Linked DNA regions of Pelodiscus sinensis. The protein of the gene in region 3 binds, or shares a complex with, the protein of the main gene of each other region. Links are inferred from orthologs where the notes say so. Each region holds a gene or a part of one and is shown on either strand. Other genes may lie near its edges. The genes, in order: F2RL2, SERPINE2, F2 and FGA.

Region 1 (7,968 bases), on a different chromosome or scaffold from region 3:
GTTAACTTTCAATATTGAGCCATTTGACTTCCCTGAAGAGCATTTATGTTCTTTGTTGTGAACAGTCTTTGTCCAGCCTTGTATATCAGAAATGGGAATATAATCGTAAGTGCCTTGTGGTATTCCACGAAAGGTCTTAATATCAGGCACATCTTGACTTGCAGAGCTGTTACGACCGTATTTAGATTCTAAGATTTAAAAAAAGAAAATAGCTAAAATACAAGGTATTTACTTGGGACAGTCATGATGCAGATCTCCCTCTCCCCCTTCTCTCCTCTCTCCGCCTCCCCTGCCCCCGAGAAATAAATACTGTAACTTTAATCTGAAGAATGATTCTATAAAAATGGCTTTGTGGGGTATTGTCTCTGATTTCTATATCACATGGTCAGGAAAACCCCTCATAATTTTATTTATAAATGGACTCTCAGCCCTGAATATGCCACTGGATTTTTCCTATTTTTAAGAATAGCCATAATTCTGCTAGCAAAAACTACAGGTGTATCTTTTTCAATTTGCTAAACCATGCTGATAGTGCGCAGAGAGAGACTAGATTTCTTGATTCATGTGACCTCAAATGTATTGGCTCAGCAGTGCAAACAGGAATAAAATAGTGGCTTTTGTCACTTAAACAAGTACATATAACTATGCAAAAGGCAAATATGTTTAAGATGGTGCCATTTTACATACACATTTTTCAAATTAGAACTACACTTAGAAACATTTACACTTTTATCTTTGAATACCTATATAACTTCCAAAACCCTTGTCCTCATCCTCTTTTTAAATAAATTAATAAAGCTAGCTTCTTCGGCTTTTTACTTTTTGACCAGATTCCCTCCTGTTAGCATGAAGAAACCATGATACAATTCATTACACTTTTGTAGCTTTGCAGAATTGTATTCAAAAGTAAACATTCTCATACTAGTCAAAGATTAATGGGTATATTTAGCCTCTTCTAATAATGTCAACAACCCTGGTAATGGTGATCAGAGAATTTTGTAAAGGCATATCCATAGCAAAAATATTCAGCCTTGTATATGCACCTTTTTGAATGTCTAGGAACATTTTGTTCTCGAAACATGTCAGCTAAATTCTTTAAAATATCAATCATTGCAAACCAGCAATGATCCTACTTTGCACCTATATTGCATCTTTCACTTGGAATTTGTGGCCATAATGAAGTTTTTGCTGTTAATCAACTATATAATAAAATCCTAGCTCCAAAATTCTGAACAAAATGTAAGGTATAGAGCAGTCCTGTATGAATCTTTGAATCCTAGTACTTTTTTATACTAACTTGACATAACTAATTTCTTCTGGATTAAAAATAAATTACAGGAAATGATACTTATGCCCAAACATTACAAACAATTAGAATGGGCAGCCATGACGGTGTATGCATAGGAAGTGGATTTGAGTAAGACTTCCCCACCCCTGTGGTAAACCTTTTTTTGTGGCAGGAGCCACTGACCCACAGAAAAATCAGTCAGGGTCCGTGCACAAGTTAGAGACACTCTCCACGTTTTTCTCCCACATCAGAGCCTGGAGGGAGGGGAGGGGTCCAGCCTCGAAGATTTGGTGTGCCTCAACCCCACGGTGGGGAAGCAGAGGGGCTGGAGTGTCAGCGCAGGCTCCCCACTTCTGGGGGAGCCCTGAGCCTCAGAGTCTGGATGAAGGTCCCCGGGCCTGAGGTTCCCCACCCCTGCTTTATCATTTTTAGTCAAATCTCTGGTCCTGACTTCCCTTTAAAGAGACTTATGTATCAGTGTATGTTTAAATAAATTCAAAAGCAATTTATCTCTGAAAATGACTAGTTCTGCTCCCACTGAAATCATTGTCTTTTTCCCCACAAATTCTAGTGACACTCTGATTGGGCCCAATGTTTTGGATTTGTAATCCCCTTCCATCCCCCCCAGGTATTTGATACAAATTTGCCCCATCAGCTGAGTTTTTTCCTTTTAGTGGCACCTTCTACGAAGCATTAATCCTGTATTTATGATTTCCTCTTTCTATGCACAGGCTGCGATTCCACAGATTCAGTACAGTGACATCCCTATAGGAACAAGCACTGTAGTAGAAGGTAGATTATGCAGAAAACCACATTTCAGTAAACACAAAACCAGTTAGTTGCCTTTTATCAATTAGCAAAACTATCAAGGGTCACTGGGGAGAAATAAAAGATAAATGAAGTAGAGAAATCAAAATCTGTCTCAGCTGGGACTTTGTATGCTGTGTATCAGCTGTTGGGGTATTATAACTGACATAAGCATCTAAAAGATAAGCCCAATGCTCATGATATAAGCTAAAATATACAGACAATATAAAATACATCTAGAACCAGAAGCTTACCTTTTTTCTGTAGACTTGAGGACAGAGACAGCAATCCAGTTATTACTAAAACCAATATTTTCATTGTTGCAGGTTAAATCCAGTTGGCAAAATGTCTCTCTAATTCAGTTGAAAATGTTTTGTAATCCACATCTTTTAATAAAACCCTGTGGTTTTTAGGTCTGCCGTCCAGAAGCATTCCACGATCATACTTAACTAGTTTTCTCAAGTACAGCAATAGGGTGTGACATCTGAATATGTAAATACACATGACTCAGTTTCACCCTCTGGCTGACATAAAGCAATTTAATCTCTTCTAATGTCTGTAATTTAACTCCTAATTTACCATGACGTTTTTTAGTCTTTCTGCTTTATTTGAATTTATACATGAAAATATTCAGAAGAAAATATTGGTGCTTAAAATCTTCAGAGACCGCATTTGATACCTGATGTTCTCAATCAAAGATTAGAACCCTGTTGTGCTATTATGTAGTAAAAAGAAAGTCCATGTCCTAGAAGCTTACAGACTTAATTACAACAGGGAACAACGGCATTGCAGGATAGGGAGTACTAGATAACAATAATACAAGCATGTTTCACTCAGGCTGGGTCTAGACTGCAGGCTTCTTTCAGAACTTTTATTCTGAAGAGGTCTTCTGAAAAAAAATTCTTCCAAAAGAGAGAGCGCGTTCATGTTGTACCAATAAAAGCAAGCAGGATCTTATGAGGGGGGATAAGGCAAAAAGCCACATTTATTGGAAAGATAATTTATTTATTTATATATATACACACACACACACACACACACACACACACACACACACACACACACACACACACACACACACACACACACACACACACATTCATCCAATCATTCAGGTTATAGTTACCAACCTGGAAGTTGCTTGTGACAGAATACTGGCCAGGTATTCTGTACACAAGTGATGGTAGTGGGGAGCGAAGTCCTGATCAGATGCGCATCTGAAGCTCCTGGTGGACTGGCAGCAGAATTTTGGACTCTGACTCCATAGTCTTTTGGTCCAATCTTTACAGGAATTTCTTCCTATTCCAGTCTATGGGAATTGCTGCATCATGCTGATGTCTTCAGGGTGGCTGCCAGGTGCTTGTCAGTGATCTCATAGGGTGGACCTCCAGTCTCCAGTTTTTCTCCACTTGACACCTTTTGGTTGCACTGGCACCTGATGCCTTCTTCAGCCCTTTGATGCTGCATTCTCAGGCTGGCACCTCTCAAACCATTCATTCATTGTCCAAGCACTCTCTCTTACATACATTCCCTAATTAATGTTTCACATACAGTATTTTGTATAATAATAATTTTACATGTACAAGAGTTGTAGTTACAAAAAGTTACAAAAGTTTCTGGGTGGCATTTCTTAAAACATTCTTTGATTGCTGAGTTAGTTACTGTTATAGTTACAATGTTTCACTTTGCGATTAGGGTTAATTGCTTTACAATGCTTTGAAGAGAAGGCCCTTAGTCAATTACAGGGCTTGGCTCCCAGAGCAGAGTAGTTAGTGTCTTGACAAGCAGCCACTTGCAAAAGTTTGTGTGCGCCCTGGGACACAGAGAGGGGAGCTGTTTTTGGCTACATAGTATTATATTTTTAACAGTTTTAAGTTGCATGACCTAATATTACATTCCTAACAAATTATATTCTAGAGGGGCAATAATTATAAATCTAAACATTTAACAATCTTAACTAATAATAATAATAATAAATCTAAACACTTATCAAGCTTGATAACACTAAATCTAAGCACTTTAACAAGAATAAATCTAAACACTTTTATATGCTTCTTCTACTTAACAAACTTATACTACTTAGACTTTTAGTTGTGGGGAACAAATTATGGGGAGTCACTTCCACTTGGGGGAATCATTTTTAATACTTTAATATGTTATCCCTACATTCGCACCCAAAGCGCATTGAAAAAGCAATCTGCTTTTTCGAGGGATAGCGTCCACACTGAATGGATGCTATTTCACATTTAAGCTATGATTATTATGGACAGAGTGGCCACAAGGGCATCTGTGTTTTTTCCTCTTTCCTCCTCTTTCAAAAGAGCTCCCTCATCCCCGTCCACATACGCCTTTTTCTGAAAGAGCTTTTTCGGAAAAGGCTTCTTCCTCAAAGAGGATTACCAATGCCGGAAAAAACCCTTTGTTCTTTTGACTTACTTTCGGAAGAACACAATTACTGCGTGGACTTAACTCAGGTTTTGTTAGAAAAATGGCTGTTTTTCCGACAAAACTCTGCAGTGTAAACATACCCCCAGACTCTCAGCGCTCCATTCTAGCTTGTCATCGGCCCAGTAGTCATCAGTTGACATTGTGTACTATAGGCTGTCGTTCATGTCCCATCTGCTTTGTTTAAGCAGTTCCTACTCATGAACGAACAAACATTATTTTTTTAAAGCTTCCTGTGTGTCACATGACAGCTTTCAGCAGGCAACTGCAAAATGCTGTGCAATGTTGGTTGCCACCTATCTTACTGGTAAGGTTAAGTGAACAAATTATCATCTGGCCCAGGAGTTGTATGTTTACCAGCACTATAATTCTTGAGGAAAATTGCAACCATGGGAATTATATTCCAGTCCTTACTCCCCAATCCCAAGGTTCTAGCTGAAATTCAGTGACCCTTAATACTGACTCATCATTCAATAGTACTCTTTTAAGCAATGTAATTTTCATTTGTAATAGCTGCAGCATACACCTCCTAATGAGTCTGAGGTATAGTTGATTCTCTAAGGCATTTGTATTCAGAAATCTTTGTCCTTCATAGCTTGTGCCTAACATTACAGTTCGTAGGAAGTAAAGTGTACTATGAGTTAATTAAAAGTTTGTTTGGTTCAAAAATCGTTGAACTGGATGCTGGAATTAAAATACTGAGACTAATGTGAGATTGTTGTAATTTTATAAAGAAAAAAGCAAACAGCAATGCATTCTACAAGCTTACAGTTGTTTTTGCTGTAAAATTTCATAACAAACTTGTGGTGGAGAAGAAGAGAAAAACATTACAGTAACTAAACGAGAGGTTGATTTTTTTTTTTTCTTCTGCCATTTAAGGATTTTTCACTATCAGTTTATTCTGTTCTCTATTATCAGCATCAAATACACTTCACGATAAGAAAATTCATGTATAACTGCCAATCAAAAACATACATATGTTGCGCATGGATAGATGTCTTGTCACACTTACCACACAAATATGTTTCACATTTATAACAAAAGAGCTTTCACACAGCCTATTTCCTCTCTTTACTGTTATGTCTGCTTTTCACATACAGTTGTTAATAGGTGTGGACTTCGATTCCTGCACACTGAAGCTATTTAAATACCCCCTACAGCAATCTTCCCTGCAGTACCATCTACCGCTTTTTAAGCTGATCACTGGCAGGAGTATCCTCTCGCATTTCTGCTTCTCTTGTACCCAAAACTTAAGATGTGCATGCTAGAAATTGGGTGAAACACACCATCCTAGATTTTCCGTGCACAGTTACTTTGGTGATGAATGCACTAAGAACACCTTAATTGAGTTTAACTTCAGTCTGATCTTGGTAAGATCTCCTCTTTTGTGCCCATAATTCTGTGTTAAATCGTGTCTGCTGTTTCAGTTTGTCTGTGTATTTAGGCATTTAAACCTCCAAATGCCGTAAGCTTGGACTGCAAATGGGGGTGCACAAAAGAAGTGTATTGCATACGAGGTAAAATTTGATAACTGGTAGATTTTAATGAAAAATGCCTGCCCTCGTCCTTAATTCATGTTCTCAAACAATTCAGGAAACTAAAGCAATTTTGGCATTACTAAATCTGAGCTTTCTTTCTATAAAGTTCATACTGACAATTTTTTAGGTCTTCTTTTTTTTTATTTATTCTTTTTTTTTTTTTTTTTTTTTTTTGTCTGCACATATACATGGTTTCCAGTTAACTATTCTTTCAAAGCTCTTAACTTTTTTTGTAAACTTCTTTTGGATTTATGCTGTCCTTGGGGAAATCATATTGTTGTCTAGTGGTCTTACTGAATTCTTCTGTTCCTTTGTTGATTGGTGAATTATGGATATTGAATTGTCTTTAACTTTATTCAGAAATCTACATCTTTCTTTGGTGGAATAAAAATGATCCGAGCTTTCAGATGTTAAATGATACTTTGCATTTTGTTATGAAAAATAGATTAATTTTTTTCTTTTATTTGTATTAATTGCCAGATTCATATAGCCAAATTCTCTTTAGTATCCCCTCAGGCTTTCAGAAGAGCTTTCTATTTATTTATTGATGCTTTAATAGTGTGTATTTTCAGATTGACTTGTGTTTTCTGTTCTGTAAATATTTTTCTATTAATCTGCCCCAGGGATCACATGATGAATCACCAGTTCTCTGGCTGGATGAAATACAAAAAGGAATCAACGATGCTAATAGGAATATAGAAAAAGCAGCAAATTGTAAGTATCAACCTGAATCTACATGGAAATTGCATTTTTTTTCACAATAAAGAGAAGATTTCTAACTTTCTTTATTCATATACAATTTAGTATGTTGGACAAGTTAGTTAATAGGGGGAAAATATCCTATTTTCATTAAAGAAAGATTCAGGGTAATTAAAATAAGATTTAAATGTAAAATAATTTAATTAGCTCTCAAACTGTTGTCCTTGTGTTTTATTTAGGAATTTTGACTATCTCTATTGCCTGAAATGATATAACAGATTTCAAATGCCAATACATATTCAGAGCCGGTGAAATACTGTGTATTAATTTCCCTTGTATAGATATGAAAATAGATTCAATGAGACTAATTGAAGCAAATGGTAAGACTTTGTTTGACAAGTTTGTGTGTAGTAATGGAAAACACTTGTAAGGAGTCCTGTACATAAGTCTGAAATCCTGACCTGTGTTGCAACCTGAATTCCTACATGGTCACAGCCTTGATTAGTCAGATTTCTGATTTCCAAACAATGACTCTTAACAAATACCAGTAAATACTCCAACTTAATCATTTGCCCTTAATTTTTCAAATTATTTTCAAGTTTTTTTGTTGTTGGTGGTGGTGGTGAAATGACAATTCAGAATGAAACAGCTTGCTTACTATCTATAAGAAGATAGTAGTTATGCTATTGAACCCAGGATATGTACAATGTCAGAACTTTTTTAAAAGACTGAATATAAACAAATCTGAAGATTTTATAAATATGCAAACTGTACAGGAATTCCAAATCAAGAATGCTGTGTAGTAGTTAAAGATTCAGCTGGAGACAAACATTGGTTTTCTGACACACCGTGGGAGAAAAGCTGTGACGTCTTGAAGAGGCTTTTTATTTACTGTCTTTGGTCTGAAAGTGCTGGAATTTTTTTAATTGAAGCGTGTATCTCTTGGTTATGTGAAACGCACTTTAATCACTATTTGGCACAGTAAATCCCTTACATTCCAACTTCCCCCGCCTAAGAATTAAATGGCATTTTAAAGTAAAATTTTCATATTTTAGGTAATTTGTCAATATTTTTGTCTAATACCTATAGTATTTTGACTTGCTTCATAGGCTTGCTTTACTCTGATTTATCCTGTACTTCTGTGGTTGATATAAGTACAGGTTAAACCTCTCTAGTCCAGCACGCTTGGGA
Region 2 (7,599 bases), on a different chromosome or scaffold from region 3:
GCTGCGTGACTCCTGCATCAGTTCAAATCCAGTTCATTAGTCTTCTCATTGTAACCACTGATACTTTTTTACTTTTATTTTTATGGTGAAGATAAGGGAGTTAAAGCATTTTTTACTTTAATAAAGAATTGATATCTGGTTCTAAATATAGCCTTGTAACACATTAGATATGAGCATGAAGTTTTCTATTATTTGTTTATGTAAAATTTTGGTGCACATAAGTATCTTTCATATGATTGAATTCAAATAACAAGATATATATTCAATTCAGACCTACATGCAAATTCAGGGCCAAATCTTGTCATCCTTTCTAAAGAAAACTTCTATTGAAGTCACTGGAGATTTTGCTTAAGTAAGGCCCGTAGGATATGGCTCATTAATTTTAGCTTACATGCAAAATCAATCAGTGCTAATACAAAATAAGTGACAGGAGTGATGCATGATATTTTCTTTACATGCCTGTACAAGTGTTAATAATTTACTTTATAATAGGTACTAGTACAATTATGTAAGACCATTAGTTTATTAGAAAAATAGTGATTACTTATCTGGGCTGGAGGCTGCTGCCCTCTGGTACCTGATCTTATATTGACTGTGCACTATGGCAACCAGAAAGGGGAAGGAACAAGGCTGCTTTCTAGCAGCATAATTCCAAGCCTTTGTTTACAGCAAGCAGCGTTATAAATACAACTTAAAACCATTTCAGGATAATTTGGTTGAAACACTCTTGGTTGTGTCAACAATCTGTATTTAAGCAGACCTCAAGTGTAAAATTTGGATTCCGATTCAAACTTTGCCAAAGGTTGAGAATATTTAAAGGTGCAGTTTTGGTTTGAGTCTTCAGAGAATAGGGGACGCTTCCTAATGGTCCATACAGCTGGTCAGTCACTTGGTTCTGGCTTCTTAGCCTTATTCCCAGAAGCTAAATCACATTAAAGTGTTGTTAAAAATACATTCCTAATATTAGGCTGTGTGTACACCAGAGGGTTTTTTTTGGAAGAATGGCTGTTTTCCTGACAAAACTTCACTTCTGTCCACACTGCAATTGTGTTCTTTCAAAAAAAAAAAATCGAAAGAACAGAGGGGTTTTTCCGACATTGGTAAACCCCTTTCCACGAGGAAGAGCTCTTTTGGAAAAAGGCGTGTGTGGACAGGGAAGAAGAGCTTCTTCCAAAAGAATAGGAAAGAGGAAAAAGCACAGGTGCCCTGATGGCCAATCCGTCCATAGTAATCACAGCTGGAATGCAAGATAGTGTCCATTCAGTGTGGACGCTATCTTTTGGACAAAGCTTTTCAGAAGATCTCTTCCAGAAAAGCTTCTTCCGAAAGAAGCCTGCAGTCTAGATGTAACCTTAGTTTTCTATACTTGTCATATGTATGCTATGCAATCATGAATGGAAGATGAGGGGGATCACCCATGGAAGGAGGGAACGCATCCATGAATCAAACTTTACATTAACATTTGGTCTACATGAAAAAAGAGTTTGAGAATCACTGTATGACAAATGCCAAACTATTTGAAATTCAAGGGGTTTTAAAATTTTGCTTTAAACTCAAAAATGGGTCAATATTTGCAGACAATGTCACTAAAGTGTGCACATTTTTCAGAGGGGGAAGAGCATTTGTATTGAAAGCTTTCAAAAATACCCATTTTGGAAGATACTGCCAAAGCTAATAAAGCAAAACATTATGGAACATTATCTGTCCCCAACAGGGGGAGGTGAGGATTTTGTGGGGCCCAGGGCAGCACAATTTCTCGGGGCCCCCCTTTGACACGGCACATGCACGGTGACGCCACGGCACATGCGCGGGGCTTCTTGAAGCGTGGATCCCAGCACCGCTTGCCCTGCCCTATATCCGCTACTGGTCCCCAAATCCCAGTCCATATTGCCTTTCCACTGGCCATTTACTCAGTTGTTCTGGAACTGAGGGCACAACAGAGAGGGACAGGAAAATTCTCCATAGCGCACATTGCTGCAGAGATTCTGGGGTGCTCCAGATTGTGCAACAGTCCATGAGCTGCCCTGAGGAGGCTGCCATAAATTAAAGCATCCTCCTGGCTGTTGTAGTTTATGCAGGGTTGTGAATACAAAAACCCAATGGTGTAAAGATGGTTTACACCATTGTCCCTTTTTTGCTGGGCAGAATCTCCTTTGCTGTGCCTGCAAAATGAAAAAAAAAAAGTGTAACTTTTAAACAGCTCTAATATGTAAACATGACTGCTACACTCTACCAGTCTCATAAAATGATTATTTGTTTAGCTTGCCAAAGACCCAAGTGGTATTAACAAGGCTGTCAAGCTCAACAGGGCTGTCAGCCAATGTTAAGATTAATGTGTGTTTCCCAGCATAATACTTCCTCCTTGTCATGGTGCCATAGATGGCATCACACTGTAAGAGAAAGGCCAAAGCCCCCTCAAAACAGAAAATCAGCCAGCTCCAGGTAGTGACAGTTGCCCCGTGACAGAACAACATGAGATTGAACCCATACAAAGTGTATGTGTGCCCTAGTTTAGATTAGGGCGTTTATTTAGAAATAGCTACCTTATTTCAAAATAACAAGTGGAACATTCACATTACCAAGCCCGTTATTTCAAAATGGGCTGGTTATTTTGAAATAATAACTCCTGCTTTCCATGAGGAATAACACTTATTTTTAAACTTACAGACTAACTCAGCTGCCTCCTGAAACTTATTTTTAAATAATTATTTTGAAATAGTGGTAGTGTGGACACTCCACTTCTGCTACTTCAATAGTGGACACACTATTTTGAAATAGTTATTTTGGGAGTTACTATTTCAAAATAACTTATTTCGAAATTTCCTAGTGTAAATTTGAGATGAGGTGGGTGAGGCAATATCTTTTATTGGACCAACTTCTGTTGGTGAAAGACACAAGCTTTGGACTGTGCACAGAGCTCTTCTTCAGATCTGTTTTCAAACTGAGTAAACTCTACAGCTTGTCTTACCAACTGAAATTGGTCCAATAAAAATACTACCTCACCTACCTTGTCTAATAATCTGAGACTGACAAGACAACAGCAACAGTACATAGAAAATGTATGTGTGTGTGCTTCATTAATTTATTCACTGCTGGACTAAAAGGTGTGGGAGGGGAAATGATAATTTTACCTGCAAATAGAAGTAAGGGAGTTAATAAGGCAAGAGGGGAATAGTTGGGAACAATCCAACAGCAAGGAGGATTATCTGAGGCTGAGATGGGGGAGTTTAGTACAGAAGTGGAGTGAGGAGTGTTTTCAGGTTGGAGTTCTCCTAGATAGGTGGACTGGTGAATCTGAGGTAAAGATGAGCAACCTTTCACACAGGCAAGACGGTGAAGAATGTGGAGCAGGGAATGAGGATTTTGGAAAAGATGGGTGGGTGTTCTCTGTATGACAAACCATGTCATGGGTAGGGGAGGAAAACAGACTAGGGCACTGATGAAGGTTTTACCTCCTAAAGTTTCTTCATTTTATTACAATTTATTTTCAAACTTTTCCTAGTAATTGTAAGGGATTTTTGAGGTTTAGATTGCAGAACTCCCATATTGCCCATGTGCTTAATCTCTCTGCCCCTTCTTACTATACTGTAAGAAGTACTGCACTACAAAAACTGTCAAATGCCCCTGTGCGAGGCCACAGAGGTGACAAAAAGTGCAGGGCCACATGTGGACCAGATGAGACGGGCTGGGGCTGCGGGTGGGGTTTCCCTCAGAAGGGGGGGGCTAGGGTAGGCGAAAGACGGTTGGTTGGGGCAAGGCGTTGGGTTTTCAGAAGGACCGGATTGGGCGGGGTCTAGCAGGGAGGGCGTGGTTTGGGATGGGGCGGGCTCTCGGTGGGATTGGGTCTTCCCGAGAAGGCAGGATAGGGGCGGAGTTCTGCCAGGTGGGGAAGAACTAGAGTTTGCTGAGGGGTGGACAAGGACATAGGGTTTTATGTTCTGAAACCCACTGGCTGCTCTAGTGTGGAGTAGAGCTGCTGCTGACTCCATATCGTGTTTCTATTTGAGTGATGTGAACTGGAACCTTCAAATGGGGTGTATGGATACCAAAGCCCTCCTACAGGTCAGATGTAGTCAGGTGAAGGGTGTGGTCCTAGCCTCCCCAAACCAGCAATGGTGGCTCCTGCGCTAGCTACCACAAAAAGGTTAAAAGTGACTGGTAGGTGTGTTCAGGATCATTTTAATATGGCACTGGGAGGGGGAATTTGGGGCAAGCCACAAGGGGGAGGCTATTTTTGGGTGGCAATAGAGGCGGTGGGGGGCCGAGGGGGATATTTTATGGGAAGGTTTGGGGGTGTCCCAAAATAGAGATTTGGGAGGGGAACAGGTGTCAGGATCTGTTTCAGAAAGGAAGAACTCAGAGAGGGAAGGGTACTGTGAGGGCCACGTGTGGACCAGATGAGGCTGGGGCTGGGGCTGCGGGTGGGGTTTCCCTCAGAAGGGGGGGGGGGGGGCTAGGGTAGGCGAAAGACGGTTGGTTGGGGCAAGGCGTTGGGTTTTCAGAAGGACCGGATTGGGCGGGGTCTAGCAGGGAGGGCGTGGTTTGGGACGGGGCGGGCTCTCGGCGGGATTGGGTCTTCCCGAGAAGGCAGGATGGGGGCGGAGTTCCGCCGGGCGGGGATAAAAGCCGAGCGCGGCAGCCGCGGCGCTCAGTTGCTGAGGAGATTTAAAGGGACCGGGATCGCCGCGGCGGAGCCTGGGTTGCACCGGGCGCTAGCAACAGGGAGAGCAGGTGAGAGCCCGGTGTGGGGACCCGGGCGGGCCGCCCCCCGTCCCTTGTGTGAGTGCGGGGGTTCCGGACGGCGTCCGCTGCTAGCTCTCCGTGCCCTGGGGCCGCGCCCAGCCGTTCCCCGTCTTCTGGCAGCCGGCGCCCCCCGGTGCCTGGGGTCCCCTGACTTCCTGCCCCGGGGCGCGGTCTTGTTCTCCCCTTGGGTCCCCGAGGCCTCGGGACTGAGGCATCCGGCCCCGCGCTGCCTATCGCCTGCCCTCCGGTGGCGGGGGGCCGGCTGTCTTCCCTTCCCCTCCCCCACTGCCCACCCCGGTGACCGCCCCGGCTCGTGCAGGGCGGCTGGCGCTACAGAGCGGCTGAGTCTTGCTCCAGCGGTACTTCCCCCTCCCTGTCCTGGGGCATCCGTGCCGGAGCCCCCGTCTGCACTCAGCCAAGGCCAGGTCCGCCCCACGGAGGGTAGCGCCAGTGGGCGCCCGGGTGTAGGCCAGGTGCGTGCAAGCTACCTGCGCTTTTTGTCACCTCGGTGGCCTCGCACAGGGGCGCTGGACGGTTTTTGTGGTGCAGGTGTGGAGAGCCATTGACCCAAACTGCAACCCCGTGTTTGATGGAAGCCACTTCCAGCCAGGAGGTGCTGCTGCATCACCACCACCTGTCCTGTGCCTAACAGTGGCAAGGGATTAAAACACGACCTAGGGCACTTAGTTTAGATGACACCTACTGTGGCTACTGTCATTGTGGAAACAGTGGGAAATTGCTCCTAAAGAAACTAGAGTGGACACTACTGAATATTTGTGGTGTTGTTAATATCAAAATACTGACAATAAGGAGGGCCATAAAAGACCGGACTTGATTCTCTTTTCGCTGACTCCCACTAAAGCAAATGTGGCTATACTGGCCTTCTACAGATGTAAGGAGGACACAAAGAGGACCCCTTTAGGAAAGGGCAAGAGAGGGAGCTATTGGATTAACACTTGATAACCAATCTTACAATGCAGCTTTATACTGTAGCATGTACTGTGTCTTCAGAACATTATCATGATCAATAAAAAGAAGAATTACAAAGCTTAAAATAGAAAAATGAGAGGACAGGGAACTCTGAGGTATAAGAAGGCGAGAAACATTCTTTCTGATTATACTTGGAAATAGATGAGAATCTGAGCTGGGCATATATAGGAAACTGTTCTAGTCTAGCAGGATAACACCCTAATAAAATAAAGTTGATGTTAATTTATGGGCATACTGTATATGCCACTAATGATCGACTGGATAAAAACTGAATGTTTCCAACCGTGTTGTTATTCTTTAATACACGTCTAAAAATCATTTTAAATGTTATTTTTATTTGTTAATATTTATTAAATATCTATCTGTATGTTAAAAACAATAATTAAGATTTTTTTTCTCTAAAAAGAATTTAAACAAATTGAATGCATACAGTTGAAGTGCTGGACAGCCACTTCTTTGGTGGAGGGCACTAATCAACTGATGCACAGGGGAAATCTTGAGCCAGTAACACAAGAACAAATCCTTGATCTTATGAAAAATGCCATATGATATTTATCCTTCTAACAGACAGGATCTTTGTTGTGTGGCTTTTGTTCTTAAAGATTTATGACCTCCTGTTCTGTATAGAATTGTCCAAATTCTCTAGAGAAATTTTGTTCACTGTTCTGGAGAGTACATATGTGGAAAATCTTCTACATGGAATATTTATTGGCAATTATAATTTTGATAGCTCCCACCAACATCAACTAACTGATCATAGGAGGAAGTATTAACATAAGCTTTCAACAAAAATTGAAATTTGGCTTATATTTGAAAATTTAAAGCACCATGCAAGTTCTAAATATTATGTGGTTCAATTGCCTAGATCAGTGTTTCTCAACCAGTGGTGCAAGTAGGGGTATTCGAGAGAAGTCTGGGGGGCACGTCAACATAACTGAAATTTGGAGAAAACTGAATTTTTGTTTTAAATTTTACAGTGCTTTATTATATTTGTACTTTTTACACCCAAAAATTTCATCACCTGCCCTGCTACAGTTAAGTTGTTTAAACAAATATGTTGCAATGGTAGAAAAAAAATTCTGTCTGCAAATTATGGTACTGGGGGGTACTTACCTTTTTTAAAAAAAAAAAAAAAAAAAAAGCTACTTTATAAAAAAAAAGATTGAGAAACACTGGTCTAGATCAGCCTGATCTGTCTTTTCTAGTGTATTTAATGCCACCCCATGTTACAGAAACAATAGTAACAAAAGGAAGCTGCTGCATGACTGGGGTACTTCTGACTGCTTTATTTTTTTGTTTAAGTATATAGCGTCAGCTTAGTTTTTTAACCAAACTCCCAAGAATCAAATAGCTCTAGGCCCTGTGAGTTAATTTAAAGATAAGTCCTAGAGCTATTTAGTGCCAGATCTCACTCCCAGCACTACAAGAGGTTGTTGGTCCAATCTAGTGATGGATGGATTAGTCTAATTTAATCAATACCAACTTCTTCAGCCAGTTAAAGAATAGTGTCTTCTTGTGGTCCAGGAAGACCTTTTCAGGCCCAATTTAATCTGAATCTCAAAGTATGTGTGTGTGGGGTGGGGGGATGTTTTGTTTTTGTTATGTCTGGAGTAACTTTTCTTTTGGCAAAGGCGACAATACATTTATTAACTTGTTAGTTAACAACTAACTGGTGGTGGAGAAATACAGCGAGGAAGATGACCAGGATTTCTTGTCTGGAGTTGGGTAAACGATACTACTTTCTTAATGAAATACAAAAGAAAGACTGAGTATATATCTGAATAGCAAATTGTAGTTAACTAGAACTTTTGTTCCTTATCTTTAGAGCCGTGCAGATCTGTGGATATCTGCTTTATATCTGTGGGC
Region 3 (7,479 bases):
CTGACAGCCCCCCTCCCCCCCCCCCCATGGACTTCCTGGATGGCAGCCTGCAGAAAGTGCAGCCAGGCTCACAGCAACACATCCAAGAGAAACATCAGAGTGCCCAGGGACAGCTCCAGCTCCATGTTTCAGAGTGTTGTGGTGTCCCGAGTGAGGGCAGCCAGAGCATGCAGAGACAAAATGCTTTGCTGTTCCTCTTCGAGGTAGGCAAGCAAGCAGGGAAACCTGAGCTCTGGCTGTCCAGAGGGGGTCCCTTTAAGCACAGACCTCAGATAGCCTCAGGCAGCAGCCACACAAAGTAAATCCTGACCTGATGCCCTGCCGGACCTGGTTCCAGCTGGCCTTAAATGCGATTTAGCATCCACTCAGTGTAGACACGCTATGTTGAAATAGCAAAACGCTATTTCGAAATGCATTGTATGTGTAGACGCATTATTTCAAAATAAGCTATTTCGAATTAACTATTTCAAAATAGCTTATTTCGAAATAATGCTGTAGTGTAGACATACCCACAGGGAATGGAAGAAGCTCAGCAGAACCTATCCAGTCCACCCTGAGGCCCGGTACAGGATTAACCTGCCTGCAACCTATGAGCTTAGGCTGTGATCAGTCCTCGATGTCCCACCGGATAAGCATGCACCCCTGCCCTGTACATTTACTTTGGCAAGGCCACTCATCTAGTTCACTACTGAGCCAAAGCTTGTCTACTTGGAGCATCAACTCACTGTCTTTGTGGTGCCACAAAGACACTGGTTTTCTCACTCAAGCGTGACTTTCTGTAACCCCATCTAGGTGGGATATGTTGGAAAAAATCATTTCATCTGCCTGTTCAGAGACCCCGACTTCCAAACTAGCTTCAGTCTTCTCTCATTCCTCTGCATAGCAGTGGAGCTGAGGAGACAGTCAGGAGATCCTGTCCGATGGGACCCTGCCCCACATCAGGGGGAGACAGGACGGAGGAAGCAGAAGCACTAATGCGGAACAAAGGAGGCGCACCAGACACCAGGACACGTCATATTGTATATGTTTGGTGTGAAATAGGGCCTAGCCTGTCCTAAATGTGTTGCTCTGAGAGCCAGAGGGGCAAGGGCAAAGTGGAGAACAGCTGTCTCCCCTGCCCCGCGCCCCCATGCCCCCCTCCACCTCCAGATAACACTCGTCACCAGGAGAAAGAATGTTCCCGGCCCATGAAACTCCATATGTGGCCAATACAAGGCACAGCACTGATTAAGATACTGCCCCCCACCCAAGTTCTTTCATGCTCCAAGACAAGGGGCTTTAGATGTCATAATAAGGATGATCCAACAAAATCCAATGAGCTGTAGCAGGCAACAATTCTACCCACCGAACTCCATCCAGCTCTTCCCTCGAACCTGGGAACTGCTGCTTCTCCTTACACAGCAATAGGGAAGCCCTATGCTGCCCACCTCCCACCCACCCATTTTTTAGCATGTAAAACTTACTGTCTAGCTGGAACAAACCGCTGGCTATTCCAGGGACCTTCAACCTTTCACAGGCTTCCCCTTCCAGCTGCAGCTTAGGAATGAACAGTCCCATTTGTTTTTCTCAGCCTCCTACCACCCTGCCCTTCCCTCCCCTCAATACCCAAGGAGTCCTTACCACTGTCATGGCTCAGTCCAAGGTGCAGGAGGCAGAAAAGGAGCAGGCTGCCCAGCACTCGGACTCTGCTGTGCCTCATGGTATATGCTCCCGCAGCAGGGAAAATGAAGAGGGTGCAGGACAAGAGAAGTCCCAGCCCTGCCTGGGTTAATGTTGAACCAACATGAAGAAACAGGATCCAGGAGGTCACAGTGTGTCAGGGCCAGTGGGGCTGAAGCTCCTGCTGTGCCTCCTGTGCTTGGCTTCTCTCCCTCCCCTTCGTGCATTTTCACTTTCAACCATTTTACTGATCCGAGCAGCACAACACCACAAGAACAACACTAGCTTGCTCTGACAGTGTGGTCATGACCACCACACTGGGGGCAGGTCAAACACGAGAGACTGCAGCCTCAACTGCGGGGAGGCCAGGGTCAGCACATGACAGGAAAGCAGAAGCAGACAGAAAAAGAAGGATGCTCCCAGACTACCCAGCAGCAGAGCCAGGAAAGCCCAGCCCACTTTGGAGTTAACATTGTTGAAACAGCTCCTTATTTTTCTCCCAAGCCATCTTAGCTCCCATCTTGCCCCATTGCTATTGGTTCTGTCACATGGGCTATGTCTACACTATGAGCTACCGATGTGATTCCCAACACACACACACACACACACACACACACACACACACACACACGCTCATTAAGAGTAGTGTGAGTATAAATAGTTGGGTGGCCATAGTAGCACAGGTAGTGGCAGCTTGGCACAGAATACTTGTGCTGAATACTTGCCCAATGGGTTCAGATGGATTTGTACTCAGGACAGCTGAGCCATGCATATGTGATCTGGGAATCAGCTGCCTATCTCAGAGTAGACACAGCCATAGCCTCATGTACAACTCCTCCCCTCACATCCAGGCAGACACCTAATCCTCCTGTTCCTTCCTCTCTGCTCTGCCCTGGTCATCTTAGATTATTGAAGCCTCCTCCTCTCTGGTCTCCCCAATACTCCCCCCTTCCCCCCCCCACACACACTCTTCCACTCCATCCAAAATACAACTGCTAAGATTCTCTTCCTTATTCATCAGTCCCAAATTATCCCCCACTAACTCCCTTTTACCATCACATCAAGTTTACACTTTTTATCCTTGCCTCTGATGTCCTATACTACTCCATCATGTTTTCAGGCTGGATTTCCTCTTAGCCCCCTTCTCACTCACTCTTCTCCTTGTGGCCCCTTGCACATGAAACAATCCCACAATCCCCCGGTGGTAGGCCCCCCAGCTCTCCTCTTCCAAACCCCTCACTAAAATAATGTACGAGATCAGGAATCAGGATGAAGATGACCTACCCCTATGCTTGTCCTCTCCTCTGAGCTTGCTGGGCATTGCATCATGATGTCCTCAGAGTAGGGACTGATCCCTATAGAAATTTAACACAAAGACAGTGCTTTAAGGAAGGGAACTTTCTCCCAGCCCTTCTCCATGCCTTAGTTACAGTCTACCATTCAGGATTCCATTTTTTCCCTCCTCTCTGAGCACCATAACTGGTGGTCTGCCAGAGAAACCAGCTCCTCTCCCCTCCCCCTCCCAATCACCAAAGAGAACAGGGGGAGGGAGAAGGAGGTTAGCAGCTGCTACTACAGCCCATTGGAATTCTTTCCAATTACTTTAATAAAGCTATTCCAAATCCCTTCTCCCACAAAAGGGCAAAGAGGGCAGTGCTGGAGGCCCCTTTTACCCTACACAATTAGGATGGTACTAAAAAAGATGAAACCAAAAAGAAAAAAAGATGAAACTAATCTGCCGAGCAAGAAACTAGGCAGATGGACAGATAAGCCCTGGGCCTAGAGACATGGGGGAGGAGGCTGCTGAGAACAGGAAGGCAGGATTAACCTGGGATTTGTGAAATCAAAATGACTAATGAACCCAATAAAGGTCTAGTGCTTCATATAGCGCATTAAAGAATAGCAATGTGGCCATCACCAGCGTGAGCTTCCTCAGAGCAGGGCCAACATGGAGCAAGCTCAGAGCACAGAGAACAGGGTTGCTAGAGCCTAGGGGACAGTGGCTCAATACGACATTCTTTGCTATATCCCGCTGCATTCACGGAGCATTTTTCTGGTCCATGCATTAATATATCTTCTAACTAGTGTTTACCTACATGGGGGAGTGCAAATATTAGTATTGGGACAGCCAAAGAAATGGCTCTTTGGCTAGGGGTACAAAGAGCACTTACATAGGCTCCCTCCCCCACCTGAGAACAGGGGTTACAGGAAGAAGCAAGTCACACCTGGGGTGTTTGGGATAACCCCCTAGGATTCTCTTAGGAAACAGCTGAGGTGCCCTAGGTCAGGAATGTTGTATGATGGGTCAGAGATCAGCCTGGAAACAAGATGTATTAGAGAGAGAACAGCAAAACATTAGAGAGAGAAATGAAGTGGGGCTGGAGAAGGGAGGAGGATGTATGGAAAGGAGAATCCACACTATTGGGACAGCTAGGAAAACAGAGCCATGAACTACAGCCAGAGTCTCTTGCACAGAGGGAGGGGTTAATGACACTAGCACTTTCCAAGTCACAGCCAGGAGCAGGAGGGTCTTGCCCAGCTGATTAACAGCAGGTCAGAGGGAGGCAGAGGATATTGCAAGGACCTAGGCTTAGCCCTTGTGCTCTTCTACAGTCCCTACCTTGACAAACCAGTTTGATTTTTAGGCCTGAGCTACAGGACTGCAGTGGCCTCAGGACTCCTATCACTGAGGAAGGGTGGTCTGGCCTGACTAGATGGGAAAGCAGAGCCCCCAGGCTATCAGCTCACACCACAGCATTGGAGGAGGGCTAAAGTATCTCTATATTTCAGCTACACCACTCAGTTGTCTTGCTTATGGTCTCCTGCCTTACTAGAAGAAAGCAGGCAACTGGGGTCAACACAGGGAATAAAAGAGGCTGAAAACCAGGGGAAAGGACACTGCAGGACTCCTGCAACTGTACCTCAGTCCCCAGGAACCATAGCAGGGGAGAAATGCCCGGATCACAAAGGGTGATCTCTGTTTCATTAAGGTCACTTTGTAACTGTGTCAATATTTGCCAACGCAGAGAGCTGGGCCAGTCACCCAGAGTCAGGAGTGGGAACATCCTGAACCAATCATTCTAGTTTCAAAAACAACCTCCATTCACACAGTTTAGCAGCAGCACTGGGCCTAGCTGCACCCTATTTTCATAACAAAAAAACATAGTAGCATGAGCTTTCGTGGGTAAAACCCACTTCTTTTATCTATGAAAGCTCATCATACATTTTTGTTAGTCTCCAAGGTGCCACAGGATTACTCATTTTTAAAGTTACAGACTAACAGGGCTACCCCTCTGAGCCTATTTTCATAAGGACTATTGAATAAGGGTGCATCCAGCCGTGATAAGGTGCCAGCAAAGCATTTGAGATGGGCTCTCCTGTCATCTTATTCAACATTAATTCAAACTGGCTTGGATCCGGAATCATTGCCTGGCCTAAAAACTGGCTAAAAGCTCTTAAATTAAGGGGAATGATACATGACAAAGGAATGAAGTACAGGAAAGGATTTAAAGAGGAGAGCCACAAGAAGCAGTAGCAGCAGTCTGGTCTTCCTACTGCTTTAGTAACATTCCAAAATGGGAAGTAAAAATACTAACGACATTCTTGGTAGTAATCGGTTACATGGTCCAATGTGCTAGTTGGAGATGTAGGAGTAGGGAGGGAAGGGTGCTAGAGGGCTCCCAGATCTCCACCCCCATGGGGCTGCCAGCTCCCACGCTCCCTAGCAGAGTTTAACTGTTAATGGGAACCAATAAGCATCAGTTTATCAGTTAATTGGTTAACCTCTTACATCCCTAATTATTGGGTGAGTGTAAATAGGAAGAAACTGGACACCTATCAGAATAATCCTAAGGGACTGTAAATGGGCAGGCCTGTTCTGTAGAGCCACTTGCAGACCAAGCTTGGCTCTACAGCTCCTTGCCTCAGGGTCCGTTCACTGTCCACAGCACTTATGTCCAGTAACAAACCCTCTTCTTAGGGTCTGCTTTAACATAAAACCTACTCACAGTAAGGACTCTCCTATCCTTGTCTCCCACTGGGCACAGCCCTACATCTCTCAAGCCCACCTGTCACCAAGCTCTCTACCAGGCTCTATTCAGTCTTCTCCCTTGAAGTCAGGGTGTGGTACTGGCCCCTTTCTTGGGCCTGTATTTACTGGATTCTCAGGTGGCTCCTCCAGGAGCTTCCAAGCAGCTTCCTTCCTGAGCCTTCTCAGCAGCTCAGTTTGCTTATGTGCACAGTAATGGTCCCTGAATCCTCCTGAGAGATCTTGATGAAACTCTCATGGAGGTATCATGCAATGCTCTCCTGGAGTTTCTTACTTCTTCCTCTGCAGTAGGACATTCTCCACACTACTCACGGAGAACTTCGGCAGATACCATGCAGTGCACAGGCTAACAACATAGGGTCTAGGCAGCTTTGGAACACCAGCAGCAGTGCACTGTGCCTTTGTAACATTCAGGAGTGAGATATCAACTAAAAGCACCATTGCCTGCAGAAAATGGTGCCACCTTTTAGGGTCATTGCCCTACACTCCAGTGCCATGTAGTGGAGTAATTCCCTCCCCATTTCCTTCACCTCTGGCAGCCCACACTTTCCAGGGCTGGTGCTGTGAGTGGTGCCACACCTGAGCTCTCCCAAGCAGAAGTGTCAATGAGCACGTCTTGGTTAAAGGTTACAGGGAGCAAAAGAAGGGCATTCTGAATCAAGTTTTGCTTTCTGTTATGATTAGACTGACAATGGTACCTCTGTGTGCTGCTTATCTGCAGCTGCTGCCTTGAAGAGGTCCTTCTCCACACAGGATGCCTGGGCCAGATAAGGATGAGAAAGAAGAGTCAGTATAACATGTTCAATGAGATTCTGCAACCCAGTGCTGCATCAGACCATCTGGGCATGGAGGGTGAAAACTATAGGCAGCCTAGAGAAGGAAAGAGCAGACAGGAGAAAGGTTCAGGAGTCTGAACAGGAAAAGGAGAGAGAAATGCACCATGACATAACAGGACTTCCATGGCAGCAAATACAGATGCTGCAGACCCTTGTGGACCTACAGGTTCAGCTGTTATGCGCTTGTCTCCTTTTTCCATCCATGGAGAACTCCACCACAGCACCTCCCTTCACACACACTCCAACATTCCACGTAATGGCAGAGGAAACATATTTACCCCTGCCACTCAACCACAAGGTAAGGATTTTTGTAAATGGTGAGCCAGTTAAATGATAGTACTTGACTGGTTAACTATTGTAACCAGGGTCCCACTGCAGCCATGAGGTCCTACCACCCACCCCATCAGCCCTGCTGCCACTGGAGTTAACTGGCAAGAGCTGTTTAACCTGTCAGCATTCCTACATAAGGACATTAAGGACAACAGCAGTTTCACATACACCAACCTGTGAAAGCCCTATGTAACTAAAATGGATAGGAAAGTTCTTAAGTTCTTTCTCTGTAAGTTCCTTTCCATTAATTTAGTAAATTTTAATGTATTTTCTTTGTATTAAGTTAGAGATTTGTTTGTGCACTGGTTTTGTTAGAGTAAAATTCTATTATTTGGAAAATAATTCATCACTATTAGTTCACAACACTGCTGCAGTGCCTAGCACTTGTGAAAATATCACTCATCACTGTACTACAGTATGACAGCTCATTGGATCAGTGACAAAGTATAATATTAATAAATACCAGAAACTGCTAATTTAAAAGGTACAGAGATAGTATTGGTGTATACCAAGTACCAGATAATTCCTAACAGGCCCCAAAATATCAGGGGCAGGTAGAGAAAAAATATACCACAGCGCATTACTGTGGCTAACTTTTAAAGTGCT
Region 4 (7,075 bases), on a different chromosome or scaffold from region 3:
GGGATGTTCTGAAAGAGGGTTTTTTCCTGACATTTGGCCCCATGTAGACAGGCCATATGTCGGAAAAGCCTCTTTCGGAAGAAAAGCAGAAAAAGATACGCAAATTGCGGTTGCCTTTAAGTTTTTGAAGCACTCATTTACTGTACGGATGAGTCCCACAAGAAAGCCCATGAGGATTTGAAAAGTGTGCTATAAAAAAGAGCAGAGCCATGCACTGAATGATGAGGATAAAAAAATATCAAATATGAGCTCTTGAGCCCTGTCAGTTCTGCATACCGAATGAGGCTGGCATGCTGCAAGAGGAGGAGGGGAGGGGGCAAATAGCATGTGATCAGATAGTTAAAGACTATATCTTAATGCAAACTCACAAAGGAGCCGCCAAATGAAGACTGCACAGGCTATCTGAATGATGTTTCTCTAAAAATTATTGAGTGCTTTGTTTTGCAGCCTTAGAGATCTTTGCACATAAGTTTTATTTTGTGTATTTTTATGAATTTTTCTCTGTATTGTGGTCTCTGAGCCGAATCCAGACCTCACTGAAGACAATTGGGGTGTGTCTAGACTACAGGGTTTTTTCAGAAAGAGTGGCCTTTTTTTCTAAAAAACTTCCCCTGCGTCTAGACTGCCGGTGTGTTATTTCGAAATTAAATTGAAAGAATGCGGTGGTTTTTTCAACTGTGGTAAACCTCATTTTATGAGGAATAACACCTTTTTTCAAAAGTGCTCTTTTGAAAAAAGGCATTATTGAATGCAAACAGAGCTTTTTCAAAAGAGAGCATCCAGACTGCCTGGGTGCTCTCTTTCGAAAAAGCAGCTCGCTTTTTCTAAAGAAGTGGTTGCAGTCTAGATGCTCTTTTTCAAAAGAGGCATGTAGTCTAGATATTGCCTTGGAGACTCCATGGACCTCAATGGATTTTGGATAAGGCCTCTATTTATCAGTTCTTGACATCAAATTGTCAAAATCCTTTTAGTGTTTTCTTTCCTGGCTTTAACTATTTTGCTTTTCTCTATGTCTTTTCTATTCTAGTGTTGTTATGTTACTTCTGAGACAGAAGGAACAAAACTGAAGAGGATTCAAAGTGAGAGTGCACCATTAATCATATCATGCTGAAGTTAGAAGATAAGGTCCATAATTTTAATGGTATTTTAGAATTGCTGTGCCCAGCATTGCAATACCTCATTCATTTCACAGCCTAACTCTCATTTTCAAAATGGATTTAGGGGCCAAAATCCGATTTTTAGTCTGTGGGATTTGCATCTCTAAGTGCCTATATTGTTTTGAAAATATGGTTTAGGTCCTTAATCAGTTAGATGTTGCAACACCAAGCACAATAATGCCAAAATGCCTTTACAGATCTAGGCCTAAGGAGTCTATTTATATGTGATGTCATGTTTATGCATGAGGATCCTTACATATATTTTTCTGAAGTAATCTGCCAATACAATCATTATAGACTGACCTGAAATTTATGAAACTCCAGTTTAAGGATCATTTTACACATTCACTGCTGAAGCTATAAAAGACTATTTAATCATATTACTCTTATCTACAGACTACACTTCAATAGATAATTTTACCAGATGTAGCATTAGGACCCAATTAATTTAAAAATAATAAATCAAACAGAAAGAAAGACAACAGGGATTTGTTTTGCACATTTTCTTCACCATGGATCAGCTTGATGATCACTTCACTAACCCAGGCAAAGGGTGTTGTCCTTCTTGGAGTCCAACACTAGGTCTGCTTCCAGACATAGTGTATCAGACAAATTTCAACCTGAAGTAAAGCAGGTTAAAATGTGGCAACCATTCAGCCCTCCACTCCAGGGTCACCATGTCCAAGATGCCTACCAATGGTCAACAGTCTTTCTGGTGCAATTCCTATGCCTCTGTTTCAAGAACTTCATAACGTTGGCAATTCTCCAGTTTTCTTGCAGCTCTTCTCCCACAGCCCTCAACTCACATCTTCTGGCCCCTGCAATGTCCCCTCCCCACTCTCCTTTGCCTGTGAGTCCTACCCCTCAGTGCTCACTCAAACTTCCCTCCAGAATCAACCTCATTCCTGGGCTCAGCCTGCCTCTGAGGCTATGTCTATGCTATGGAGAAAAAAATCTGCTGCATCCAGGGAATGCGTCGGCTCTTCCAAAAAAAATTTCAGAAGAGCAGACGTGCTCTTTTGGAGGCTCTGTATTCCTCATTTTATGAGGAACACGGGCTCTTCTGAAAAAGGAGTTTTTTCAGACATTTGGCCCCATCTACACGGGGCCAAATGCTGGAAAAGCCTCTTCCGAAAAAAGAATCGGAAAAATGTATGCAAATTGCGGTTTGCAATTTGCATACCTTTTTCCGAACCCTCCCTCCCGTCCCCCAGGAGTGTAGACATAGCCTGAGACATAGCCTGTTCTTTAATCCAGTAGGGAGGTTCAGCCAATGAAGTTTATAAATACCACAAGCACAGTTGTTCACCATCAGAATCTATAAACTCTGCCAGTATTTAAAGTATGCTCATGTCTCTGATCAATATACAATTTCATGTGAACTGAAGAACCATCCTTATTAATTCTTTAGCAACCTCCACATGGACCAGATTTTAATAACAGAAGTCTATAAGATTTCAGAGCCCTAAAAAAAAAGTAAAGAAAGGTGAACCAGTAAAAGCATATGAAATATGCATATGATATGAATATGCCATAACTCAGATATATCATAACTCAGATATGCTGAATGCAAGATGGCTTGTGTAAAATGTTATTGGAAAGGCTATAATTTACTGATTATCCCCATTTGTACATATGTATCATTTTTGTAGATTAAGTTAGGAATATTGACCTGGGTATCTGTAATTTCATATTTACTGCTTTGGGTGTTACGCACTGCTGACGCTTCAGGTACAACAATGAAAGAGGTCATAGTGCTGATGGCTCATCAGCAAGAGACAATGAACTGTAAAAGAGCTTTCTGGAACATGAGAGTCAGATCATGAAGAATGGCTGCAGAGACATGTAATGGAAGTATTGTAAGCAGGATATGAGAAGTCATTCTTCCGCTCTACTCTGTGCTGACTAAGCCTCATCTGGAGTATTGTGTCAAGTTCTGGGCACCACATTTCAGGAAAGATGTGGAGAAACTGGAGAAGGTCCAGAGAAGATCAACAAAAATAATTAAAGGTCTAGAAAACATGACCTATGAGGGAAGACTGAAAGGACAGGATTTGTTCAGTTTGGAAAAGAGAGGACTGAGAGGGCACATGATAGAATCTTTCAAGTTCCTAAAAGGATGTTACAAAGAGAAAAATTAGTCTCCTCAGTGTCTGATAATAGGACAAGAAGCAATGGTCTTAAATTGCAGCAAGGGAGGTATAGATTGGACATTAGGAAAAACTTCCTAATCTTCAGGGTGGTTAAGCACTGGAATAAATAGCCTAGGATAGGGATATAAAAGAGTAGTAGAATAGTCAACTACCCAATAAGCCTAGGCTACTTGCATCCCTCCCCCCCTTGCTGCCTCTATATCTGGGAGGGAGCAGGAGCCAGTACTGGTGAGATCTGGCTTAAAAGCCGGTTTCCCCTAGCACTGTCTCTGCAGTGCGGGGAGGGGCGGGGGCAGAGGTGGGGAAGCAGAGGCACAGTGGCCCTGCAGCTCTGCCTTTTAAATATAGTAAGAGCCACAGAGGTGCAGCACGGGATCCGGTGCAAGCCAGGACTGAAGTAGTCCTTGCTCGCGTCGGATCCAAGCAGCTCTCACTACATTTGAAAGGCAGAGTTGCAGCAGTCTGGACTCAGCATGAGCTGGGACTGAAGCAGTCCCGGCTTGCGCCAGGTCCCAGAACTACTCACCCTGCAGCTCTGCAGTTTAAATGTAGTAAGAGCCAGGCTGCCTGCTGGAATACTGCCTACAAAATACTGGAACCCATATTGATTTCTGTACTTTTCCATGAGAAGCTGGGTGTGAGTCAAACTTGAAACAAAGGACTCCCACCTTAAATCCTATTTAAGGGTGGGGAGTGAGGTAATCTTAGTTTTCAGTCCTCCCTGGCTACCTCAACCAAGATAACTGTTGGAAACAACTAAGTATGAACTGAGGGAATGATTGGGCCCAGGCTAGAAGGGTGCCTGGCCTGTGAGGGAAGACTATTTGAACCACATTTAGGGTGAGATCTTACATATAATTAGTTTGTTTACTGAATTTATCTTAGCCTGCATGTTTGTTTATTTTGCTCAGTTATCTACTTTGTTCCGTCTGCAATTAACCTAGTGAAAATAATTACTATCAGAGGAGGGGGAAGGAACCTGTGCATATCTCTCTTTACCTTGAGAAAGAGGGCGAATGTCATTAGCTTACACTGTATATATCTCTACACAGCCTAAGACAGATTTAGTTTAGATCTCAGAGGGACTGTATACTTGATTGCTGTGGAAAGGTCTCACAGGGTACGTCTACACTGTGACGCTATTTCAGGATACCTCCGGTATCCCCAAAACAGCTATTCTGTGTTATTTTGAAATCTAACGGGCTCACTATTCTGACGTCCTTGAAAACCTCATTTCATGAGGATTAAGGGATGTTTCAGAATAGTAGTTTATTACAAAATTTGGCATTGTGTAGACAACGCCAAATTACAAAATAAGATATTTTGAAATTAACTTGAAATAAGCTATGCAATGTGTGTAGCTCAGATTGCGTAGTTCATTTTGAGTTAAGGGTGCAGTGTAGATGCACCCATACTGTACTGCTTTCAGACTGTGTCTGCAGCGTTGGGGTTTTGCCCTGTCCCTGTGTCTCAACTGAAGCAGGCCAAGAGCTAAGCTCAACAAAAGAGGGTTATAGGGTGTCCAGGCTGTCAGAGGAAACAGACTCAGTGGTGTCTCAGCACGTCAGGTGACAATCTGAAGGGTGTCCCTCCTGACCCATCACAAACATATTTTCTTTTGCCTGACAACCAAAGCTCTTTAATAATGCAACGGAACCTTCATAGACTAACACATTTTGAATAAAAAGATATGTTGAAAGAACTTTTTGTGTTACCAGGTTATTCGTTTAACTAGTTTCTTGTATAATGGTATGATCAAACATATTGATATAATTGAAATTGTCACCATGTCATAGGATTTTAGGTAGGGTGTGTTCATTCTAAAAATATTTCTCCTATGCTAAAGCACTCACTTCATTAAAATTATGAAAGTATGCACTATATTGCCATTAAATCAGTGATATTAAACAAGACTAAACCAATCCCTGTTTCCCCAGAAGAAAAAAAAATGACTTGAGAGAAATAACCCTACTACCACCAAATCCTATCTCATAATATAGGACTGTTCTTATATTTTCTGTTCTTCACATTTTCCTTTAGAAGTGCCTGGACCTTAAAGTGCATGGTCTACATACAAGCAAGTGTCATTAGAAAACAGCTTTATCCTCTGTTTCTGCTCCCAGCTATGTAGAGGCACCAAGCTGCTGTACAATTGATGTTTATAAATCAATGTTTATTTCAAAGGAATAAAGTGGAAAACAGGACACGGGATGCTTACTCAAGGAAGATTTACTCAGTCATATTTCTTACATCTACTAGTGCAAGTTGAAAACCATGTAAAGCATTTCATACTGAAGTTTTCTTTTCTTTTTAATTTTTAATTATATTTTAGTGTCCAAAGAACATAAACCCTGGGACAAATGTATTTCATACTAACCAAACACAGTTCAATTATAAAAATGTGTGAATAGCACTCTTTAACATCTGTAGAGACTGTCTGGTTTGTCCAATATACATGGCATTGTTGGCACATGATGGCATATATCACATTAGTAGATATGCACGTGAATGAGCCTTTGATGGTATAGCTGATGTTGTTAGGTTTTCTGATGGTGTCACTAGGATAAATGTGTGGATAGAATTGGCAATGGGGTTTGTTTCAGGGATAGGTTCCTAGATTAGTGTTTCTGTTGTGGGGTGTGAAGTTGGTGAATATTTGCCTCTGCTCGGGGGGCTGTCTGTAAGTGAGGACTGGCCAACCTCCCAACGTCTGTGAGAGTGAGGGATCATCATCTCTGATAGGTTGTAGTTTATTGATGATGTGAAGGAGAAGTTTTAGTTGGGGGTTGTAGATAATGGCTAGTGGTGTTCTGTTGCTTTCTTTGTTGGGTCTGCCCTATAGGAGATGACTTCTGGCTTTATTTGACTTCAGAGTGAATGTTGTCTGAGACTGACACAGAATCATGAAATTGGCAGAGCTGAGCATGGGTCTTCCATAAAAATATCTCTCAGTAACTGGTTTATTTTGATGACCATATAGTTCTTGAATTAACAATTATTAGACTATGATCTTGCTTCTTTTACTGCACTAAGTAGTCTCTCTGACTTGATGTCCATGGAGTGTGATCATACAAGTAGGAACAATTTGGTGATTTTTTGACTGCTTAGTCATGCTATTTAAATACCAGATTTACAACATAGATATCTTCCAGTGGTTAAGTATTATTGGATCTTTTACATGCATGTTATTCCAAAATTTAGTTATCAGAAACTAAAGCTGTAGACTTTCCTGGAATGTGTGTTCCTTCCTCCCACTCCCTCCACTTCCACCCCCGACTGGCATTGCACAAATTTATCTAGAGCAAACAAACTCAGGCGCTTGTGCAAGAGGCCTCAGGTAACCAACTGGGGGTGGGTTGCATGTAACTCTGCAAACAGAAGGGAACATAATGATTAATCTAAGCTATCCATGAAGGTTTAAAATGAAGCAAAAAAAACAAGTGGAACGTATCCTTTCTGTCAGACTCCTCCTCACCCTGCCACTGAAGATGATACCGCTGAGGATCTTGTGCATGTGGCTGTGCCTCAGCATAGCCTGGGTATGATTTTACTTTATTTGATTCTTTTGATAGTTTGGCTTTCTCTTTTTAAAAAGGGGCATTTTTATTGAATGAACAGTCACACAGCAAACTGACAAAATTCTCTTTGGTTATGAGGTAGCTTGAAAAATTCACACACGTACACATGAACACAAGTCTCACCACTTCATCACCGGCGTTTCCCTCTTGAGTCTCTTCTGCATTTTATTGTCTGTCTGGTTCCTCA

What was found.
Region 1: the proteins of F2 (region 3) and F2RL2 are in contact, whole or in part, in a crystal structure (PDB 2PUX), measured with the Mus musculus proteins. The link is inferred for Pelodiscus sinensis from reciprocal best matches to the Homo sapiens genes F2 and F2RL2. Residues at the interface, in NP_034298.1 of Mus musculus: Phe379, Gln384, Glu385, Leu386, Leu420, Arg422, Arg428, Thr429, Arg430, Tyr431, Arg433, Lys437, Ile438, Ser439, Met440, Lys467, Pro470; in NP_034300.3 of Mus musculus: Thr46, Phe47, Glu48, Glu49, Phe50, Pro51, Asp54, Ile55, Glu56.
Region 2: the proteins of F2 (region 3) and SERPINE2 are in contact, whole or in part, in a crystal structure (PDB 4DY7), measured with the Homo sapiens proteins. The link is inferred for Pelodiscus sinensis from reciprocal best matches to the Homo sapiens genes F2 and SERPINE2. Residues at the interface, in NP_000497.1 of Homo sapiens: His406, Tyr410, Pro412, Trp413, Trp455, Arg456, Glu457, Asn458, Leu459, Glu509, Thr510, Ile542, Asp562, Ala563, Cys564, Glu565, Trp590, Gly591, Glu592, Gly593, Cys594; in NP_006207.1 of Homo sapiens: Val225, Arg288, Ser355, Ala356, Thr358, Thr359, Ala360, Leu362, Ile363, Ala364, Arg365, Ser366, Ser367.
Region 4: the proteins of F2 (region 3) and FGA are in contact, whole or in part, in a crystal structure (PDB 2A45), measured with the Homo sapiens proteins. The link is inferred for Pelodiscus sinensis from reciprocal best matches to the Homo sapiens genes F2 and FGA. Residues at the interface, in NP_000497.1 of Homo sapiens: Phe382, Lys384, Ser385, Gln387, Leu423, Arg425, Tyr434, Glu439, Lys440, Ile441, Ser442, Met443, Lys470; in NP_000499.1 of Homo sapiens: Trp52, Pro53, Phe54, Cys55, Ser56, Asp57, Glu58.

What each region holds. Positions count from the first base shown.
Region 1 is NC_134716.1:85,336,810-85,344,777, forward strand, and holds the start of F2RL2 (proteinase-activated receptor 3), read right to left. Parts: upstream 3,020-7,968; 5' UTR 2,414-3,019; coding exon 2,350-2,413; intron 189-2,349; coding exon 1-188. Other genes in the region: ras GTPase-activating-like protein IQGAP2, read left to right, coding at 6,702-6,792. UniProt on the Homo sapiens protein: Receptor for activated thrombin coupled to G proteins that stimulate phosphoinositide hydrolysis.
Region 2 is NC_134720.1:16,707,835-16,715,433, reverse strand, and holds the start of SERPINE2 (glia-derived nexin), read left to right. Parts: upstream 1-4,599; 5' UTR 4,600-4,731; intron 4,732-7,558; 5' UTR 7,559-7,599. UniProt on the Homo sapiens protein: Serine protease inhibitor with activity toward thrombin, trypsin, and urokinase. Promotes neurite extension by inhibiting thrombin. Binds heparin.
Region 3 is NC_134714.1:84,406,367-84,413,845, reverse strand, and holds the start of F2 (prothrombin), read right to left. Parts: upstream 3,004-7,479; 5' UTR 2,989-3,003; coding exon 2,944-2,988; intron 1,763-2,943; coding exon 1,621-1,762; intron 1-1,620. UniProt on the Homo sapiens protein: Thrombin, which cleaves bonds after Arg and Lys, converts fibrinogen to fibrin and activates factors V, VII, VIII, XIII, and, in complex with thrombomodulin, protein C. Functions in blood homeostasis, inflammation and wound healing.
Region 4 is NC_134715.1:56,885,650-56,892,724, reverse strand, and holds the start of FGA (fibrinogen alpha chain), read left to right. Parts: upstream 1-4,070; 5' UTR 4,071-4,085; coding exon 4,086-4,150; intron 4,151-6,725; coding exon 6,726-6,849; intron 6,850-7,075. UniProt on the Homo sapiens protein: Cleaved by the protease thrombin to yield monomers which, together with fibrinogen beta (FGB) and fibrinogen gamma (FGG), polymerize to form an insoluble fibrin matrix. Fibrin has a major function in hemostasis as one of the primary components of blood clots.